2 linked regions of the Danio rerio genome follow. The protein of the gene in region 1 binds, or shares a complex with, the protein of each later gene. Links are inferred from orthologs where the notes say so. Each region holds a gene or a part of one and is shown in the gene's direction. Other genes may lie near its edges. The genes, in order: myo6b and clta.

Evidence for each region.
Region 2: the proteins of myo6b (region 1) and clta are in contact, whole or in part, in an NMR structure (PDB 6E5N), measured with the Homo sapiens proteins. The link is inferred for Danio rerio from reciprocal best matches to the Homo sapiens genes MYO6 and CLTA. Residues at the interface, in NP_001355794.1 of Homo sapiens: Met1053, Thr1054, Pro1055, Met1058, Ala1059, Met1062, Ser1087, Trp1089, Lys1090, Tyr1091, Glu1113, Arg1117, Leu1118, Val1120, Tyr1121, Trp1124, Asn1128; in NP_009027.1 of Homo sapiens: Glu47, Asn48, Glu50, Ala51, Phe52, Ile54, Leu55, Asp56, Gly57, Gly58, Ala59, Pro60, Gly61.

What each region holds. Positions count from the first base shown.
Region 1 is NC_133192.1:38,550,887-38,554,717, reverse strand, and holds part of myo6b (myosin VIb), read left to right. Parts: intron 1-214; coding exon 215-433; intron 434-1,678; coding exon 1,679-1,878; 3' UTR 1,879-3,831. UniProt on the Homo sapiens protein: Myosins are actin-based motor molecules with ATPase activity. Unconventional myosins serve in intracellular movements. Myosin 6 is a reverse-direction motor protein that moves towards the minus-end of actin filaments.
Region 2 is NC_133176.1:13,754,248-13,758,078, forward strand, and holds part of clta (clathrin light chain A), read left to right. Parts: intron 1-286; coding exon 287-404; intron 405-492; coding exon 493-604; intron 605-2,632; coding exon 2,633-2,686; intron 2,687-3,831. UniProt on the Homo sapiens protein: Clathrin is the major protein of the polyhedral coat of coated pits and vesicles.

The sequences.
Region 1 (3,831 bases):
TGGGGCAAGATGGAGCTAAAATCTGCAGGACACCGGCCCTCTAGAACTGAGTTTGGACTCCCCTGACCTAGAACAACACATTTTGTAACAACATGCTATAAATGACATCTTCATCACAATCAGATTACCCTAGAATCTCAGCAGCAGGTTTTGAACAGACAAGCAGACACAATTTTTTTATATTTTTTTTAAATTTTATATATTTGTATTCCAGCCCAGCAAAACCCTGCTCCACCTGTCCCAGCCCGGCAACAAGAGATCGCGATGAACCGACAGCAGCGTTACTTCCGCATTCCCTTCATCCGGCCCGCAGACCAGTACAAAGACCCCCAGAACAAGAAGAAAGGCTGGTGGTACGCTCACTTTGATGGACCCTGGATCGCTAGGCAGATGGAGCTTCATCCAGACAAGCAGCCGATCCTCTTGGTTGCAGGTACCAAATACTATGAAGTTAAATCAGTCATTTTCTCCAATCTATAAACAATTAATACGCCAGAAAAGAAGCTGGAATTGATAAAATAGCTGAAACTCTTAAAGGCGGTTAAATTAGGTATTGCACTCCTGGTTCAAAACACACGCAAGCACAGGTTGCTAGATTGGAGACAGAAGCGACTATCAAGCCTAAAGACTGATTTAGATTGTGTTCTAAATAAAAGCAATAACACATGATAGAGGAAATATTTACCATATTGAAAGGAGTTTTTGTCCTAACCAACACCTCGAATTGATATTTTAGAAAAAGCTTTTATTTCTCGCAGCTGAATAACAGGATAAACTGACGATGATCACCTCAGGTGCACCTCATGGACTTTGTTCAGTGTTAAATGCTAATAATGTGAGTTTAAATGCCATTTTACATGACATTTATTGTCATACTACTGAAAGCAGCAGCAGATAGTTCACCTCAGGTTTTGAAAATAAAATAAACCATTTGAAAGTGAATTTTAGAACTGTGACTCAGAGTAAGCCAACACATATCAGTGATTCATCATGTACATTTGATAAAGTTAAAGAGGTTTAATATGTTTAATTAGATTGTATCCCTTACCATATCATTGAAGTGCAGTAGGTGCACTATTCTGTGCTTCTGATGGCTGTATTTAAATTTCTGTCATCTGGTGCAAACAGCCAAATTGCTTATTACTGTGTATCTCATCATGTAGTGTGTTGTTAGAACACGGGGTTACAATGTTACCTGCTCTCCTAATGTTTACCTTCATAATATTTTTTATTATTTGCTAATTAAAAATCACCTCATGTGGAACTCTGAATCTGTGTCTCATTTAGGAGGCTGTTACTGTCCACCGGAGGTTGCATTTTGGTATCGGATGCATATTTTGAGAGCTTTCATGACTGAATGAATCAAATACGCTGTTTTCCTTCAAAGCACCCTGGGGTGCTGAATTATAATTAGCTAAACTGGCAATGGGCAGGTTAAAGTTCCAGCACATAACGCACATTTTCAAAGCGGAATGTCTGACGTCAACATTGTTTTTCAGATAAACAAAAATGTTCACTTAGCAGGTTTCTTAAATATCTACAAACATATTATGGTATTTTTATGCCTTAGTAGAATCCAAACTTACAAACAGCACCTTTAAAAGACAATTCGATGCTTAATTGCGGATGTAAAATGTGTACACAGACAGATTTTGACGCCTTCTGTAACCGTTCTCAGGTAAAGATGACATGGAGATGTGCGAGTTGAGTCTGGAGGAGACCGGCCTCACACGAAAACGTGGAGCCGAGATCCTGCCCCGGCAGTTTGAGGAGATCTGGGAGCGCTGCGGTGGAATCCAATACTTGAAGAATGCTATTGAAAGCAAGCAGGCCCGTCCCACCTACGCCACCGCCATGCTTCAGAATCTCCTCAAGTGAACATCACACATTTCTCTTATTGGTTCACTTTATCTATGCACATTTAGATTAAAAGTTGTGCTGCTAGAAAAAAGGGCAACTCTAGTGGAAGTCTAATTCACTTTTTTTGTTTGTAGTTTGTTCCTTATTTTGCTGTGACCTTAGAAACCAGTTTTCAAACTAATCTGAGCCTTCTTGCTCAGAGATGCCTTAAGATTTTCAAAAAATTCACATCTCACTTGATAGGGATGTTATTTAAATGTCACCCCTCATTTAAAGGACTTATAAAGGACATTTCGCTGTGCAGTGACAGACATTTCTAAAAATATCCTTGCTTGCCCCTTCTTTATTATTACAGTTGATGTGTCATTTGTGACATGTTAAAGAGCCCCTATTATACATTAAAAAGTCATATTTTGGTTTTGTGGGTCTCCAATTACAGGCTGATATGCATGCAAGGTCAAAAACACTTTTGTTTTCTTATAATTTGCATTTATTTTTACCTCATTTTCCCAACGGCTCCCATATGATTTGTTCAAAGATTAATTTGTTCCCAAACCCCTCCTTAGCACGATGCTAATCTGCGCTGATTAGTCTGATGACCTAGTCTGTTGCGATTAGTCGACTGCGTTCAGTGCGACACAGTGTGAAACGCCCACCACAGCTTATCTACATTGTTGAAGTAGTCAGAGTGCAGAGTATATGTGTGAGCCCAATGCAGGAGCGCATTAAAGCAATACAGTTAAACATCAGCATATCGCTCTATTCTTAACCACAAGTAAAAACAACAACACACATTCAGTATTAGTCCACACAGTGGCAAAAGCTGAACTATTTTAAAACTTGACCGCTGCATGTGTAGGAACAGCTGACGGTAGTTATAGCAATGACAAACGACAGAGGATCGCGAGCTAATGGACGCATTTTAATCCATAAACAAAGCAGCATGCTGTGCGTTTTCAACGTGGTTTTAGACGCGATATGTGAAAATTAAGAGTTAATCAGATAGAGTACATGCCGCGTAGAGCGATTACAAGTAGCCAAACACAAACAAATACATAATTTGCAAGCTAGAGAAACAAGGAGACAGCCAATTTAATCTTACACTTGTGAAACTGATCCATGAACTGTGTACTGATAAAGTTTGTCAAAATCTCATACATCAATAGTCTTTTTTGATCCTTCTTTTAACAAACGACCAACAAATTCCCGGTTGCAGGGTAGATTATTGCATTAATCACTACAACGTTCACTCATTAATGTTCACTCACCTTCAGTCCCACACTCACCAGCACTGCTAGCGTTTGAAGTGAAAGGAGCGTTCACGTTTTACCGGATCCAAAACTTTATATTTAGTTTGTCTCGACGTGGATATCAACATGCAAAAAATCCTGACGAACGACGAATCATTTAAACGACTTTTAAGTCGAATCGTTTATTTTAAATTGGATATTTTTAAACAAGGTTGATTTAAACCTCAGCTGGATGTTTTCATTCACTTAGAGCTGTGCTGCACACTGTATGGAAGGTCATTTTCAAAATCCATAATATGGGCTCTTTAAAATATGCTAAAAATGATAATATATTCCTCAAAAGAAATCGCTAAATGTTTATTTATTTAAGCATCCTGACCAGCCCTGGCATCATCAGCTCAACCAATGGTGTATTTGGAGGTGTGTCCATTTATTTTAATTGTTAAACCAATAGCAGTTTTTTCACACTATTGCTGGTGCAGCAAGACATTTTACCTTTTAAAGTAAAATTCTGCTATATTACTTAATATTACTATATAGTAACATATTACTATAACATTATTGTAAAGAAATATGTTAAAACATCAAATAGCTAGTCAAAGTATCCCTAATTGAATCAAATAACGGCATTAAAGGCTAATGAGGAACATGCACCGAAATACATTAGGTTTGAATATTTTCTCTCAGCTTTGCAAATGCGACCAGCAGAATAGTTTCTGAG
Region 2 (3,831 bases), on another chromosome or scaffold:
AAATGTCTATGTATTGTGTCAAATATGATACAATGCTTGATGGATGAACAAATAATTTTGACTCCAAATCAAATAAATTGTCAGGCTTTACATGCTGAGCAGAATTCTGAATGCCCAGTTTTACCAGTGACTCCTATTTTAAAAAGCCAGTTTTGTTTTTCCAATTCAAATATATAATAAAATTCATAAACATAATGGACAAATCCCTGATCCAGATACCAAAATTAAAATCTATCAACTAACTTGCGTTCTGGAATTGTGTGGCTTGGCTGTGTGTGTTCTGTAGGAGAGTAATGGCCCTTCAGATGTGTACGCGGCCATCTCCAGTGTGGATCGGTTGCAGGCTGAGCCGGAGAGCTTGAGGAAGTGGAGAGAGGAGCAGCGAGATAGGCTGGAGGAGCTCGGTAAACGCAAACCTGACCCCTGGATGCTTTTATATAGATGCATTTAAAGTTTGAAGTTCATTTAGGGTTGACGAATGTTTCTCTTCAGATGCGAACTCGCGTAAACAGGAGGCCGAGTGGAAAGAGAAGGCAAAGCTGGAGCTGGAGGAATGGCACACCAGGCAGAACGAGCAGCTGGAGAAAACCAAAGTCAACAACAGGTACAAAACACTGTTCGAGCAGAAGAAATCAACAAGGCAGGCCTAGTTTCTGGCTTTTGCTGTGCGATTACAAGAGCACAAGACCTGCACAGTTTAGTTTCAACCCTGCTTCAATACACTTACCCAGAGGTGTAAAACAAGCCTCAAGGACTCCATTAGTTTGATTAAGTGTGCTTAATAAGGGTCAAAGCTAAACTATGTAGAGCTAAGGACCTCCACAAACTGAGTTTGACACCTGTGCACTAGACAGTGCATGGCTCCCTTTATTACTCCATTTGTATATTAAAAAAAAGTTTTACACAGCATTAAAAAAAAAATATATATATATATATATATTTAAATAAATTTGCACCAAACAGAAAAACAATCAACATCAAACAAACAAACATCCCCAAACAAAGAAGCTCCATTTTTAAATACACAGCCGAGACATTATACCAGAAGAGGCACATCGCTAACAGTCTGCAAACAAATGGTGTTTGATCAAGTCCTCAATCGTCATACAAATGCACAGCAAGTGTATGCATAGGTTGAATACACAACTCCATAATACTCAAAATAAATAAGATTAATAAAAATGTAAAAAGTAAAATAGACAGTTAAAATAAATAAATAAATAAAATGCAACTCATTGGACACTCCCAGCATGAGTGATTGTAAAGATTTATCATCTTCAATAATATTGTAGGTTTTTTGATGTTGACTATGGCACAAAAATAGACTTGAATCGTATTACGTTCTTGTATTTTATAGAATTATCATAACCGTTTGATTAGATTTAATGTAATGATTTATTAGGGCTGCACAACATACAGTTTTAGCATCAATATTGCAATGTGTGCATCTGCACATAGATGTGTATATGTTGGTATTATATTTTAGTAAGAGCGATTATCCTGAAAACATGAAACTTGTGGATTCGAACCATAACAAAGTTTGTCATCTGCATGTGTTAATAAGTGAAAAAGCAAGCCTGATAAAGGTGACCCATACCCATCTATACTGTATTGTGCTGTACCACTCAGTGGCCATAATACAGATTCCTTGTATTTACCTATTTATTCAACAAATAAATGACTATACAGCGTTATCTTGCATATGATTATTCAATTTTTGTATCTGAATACTGTTTGACTCTCCAAAGAAACATAAAGCACTAGCTTTAATTTAGCCATATTTTTAAATGATAATTTATACATCATTCACACCCAGAATAATCCCCAATCAGTCTGAATAATAAAAAAAAAAAATTCCACATGAAGCTATTCAAGCTATCTGGTGAAGTTGTATTTATATCGCAATAAATACTGCAGGAAAACAACATATTTTTCCAATATCGTGCAGCCCTATTAATAATAATGACTTATTACTCACTGCTGCCACCTACTGCTGGTTTAAGTGCCATGTGTATTTATCCTTGACAGGATAGGTCAAGCTAATGTTCCAGCACAAAAGCACACCTTCAAGTACTCCAAGTACAATTGTAGCCATTTTATGATCCGAAAAGCACACTGAAGAAGCAGATCTGAGAGTCTGACCTTGTTCAATGGTCATGTGAGGTCACAAAATCATAGCTGGTCCAATCAGGAGCAGGTATTGTATCCATCATCGCTTTAGGATGTTGTGTTAGAATGGGGGGAAAAAGTGATGAGAAACTCTTGATCAGTTGGTGAAGCATCTGAGAACTATATTACAAGAACAGGTATTAAGTCAGAAATCAAATGTAACTTCAGTCACATGCTTTGTGCTTCCCATTCAGTCCCAGTGGAAAATTCACAAATGTTTTGGTACAAATGAAAATGCCACGTCTTCTTAAATCTCTTTCAGAATATCTGTCTTAATTCCTGTCAATGTGAAACGGTTGTCTGAGTTCTTTGTCTCTGTCTGTCTCTCTTATGTGTTCACGGTTTGTCATCTTGTATGTTCTTGGCCTGGTGTTAACACTGGCTCTGTATGAGTGTGGTTTTTCTCCTTTTTACCACTCTCTCTGTTCTCTCCTGCTTCGCTGCTCTCCTCTGGGACTTCCAGGGTGCTGGATGAGGATTTCTACAAACAACCCTTCGCTGATCTGATTGGTTATGTGTATGTTGCTAAAACTAACATCCTTTCTTTTCACATGCATCTCTCATTCCCTCGTTTCCCCGCATCCCATCTTTTTTTCCATCACCTGTTAATCTCACACATCTCTAACTAAACTCTTCGTTCACTTCATGTTTGAAGCCAGATAGTTTTTGTTCAACTAATCAGACCAATATTGTTGCACACTATGCATGTTGTTCATTTGTATATTTTTGTTTTAGTTTCATAGATTTTTTTATTTGTCTTGTCCAACATTTTTTTTTTTTAAATCAAGATCTTTTTTTTTTCCATGGTCATTCATAAAACGTTTAACTCATTATTTTTCTGTCATTTGTGTTGTGCTTTTTTTCATATTGTGTGAATTATTCCGATATTGAAGATATACTGTGTAAACATTTGTATAGATGATGATTAGTCAATGCTGTTTATTGTCTTTTATTAATATTAATTTAGATGATTCAATATGTTAGTGCTATTTAGTGTAGTAGAAGTAGTTGTGTTATCTGTAATGCAGTGAATTTCTTCCCTAAGTATTAGTGAATTTTCAAGCAACTACGTCTCTGGCTGATCTTAAAACCAGCGGATCAGTGAACTAGCCAGATATTGAATGCTAAAAAACAAAAATGTTTTTTAATGCTTTCTAAAACTAAGTCTGATATGTTTTTGGATATATTTGTGTTTTGGGTGTCTTAGAGGTGCACTAGGCCTTTTATTTTCTTTTAGTATAAATAATAGTAATGGGTTTATTATTAGAATATACTATAAAAGCTCTCTCTATAAACAAACTGTTGAATTGAATTGCTTTTAGGGCTTTAAGATATCTGTGATGTGGAAAATGTAGAAGAGATCCTGTCAAAACTGTGCAAAATGAAATAAATGTACAAATTTTGGATCAAAAGTCGAAAAGTATACCTCATTAAATCAAGTTTGACAAATTATAAATGGCAAAATGTATATTTGTATATATTAACTGTGTGTTCACACAGAATGCGGTGAGAGCGTTTAGTTTGGTCTGGTGACAAACACTGTCTGGGTTTACTGCTCCACTGGCAAGAGCGCCAAAATTCGCTGCGTTGATCTCATATTTAAAGGGTCCGCTGCAGCGAATCGGTTACCTTCCCGCATAAAAAACATGCTTTTATCAAATT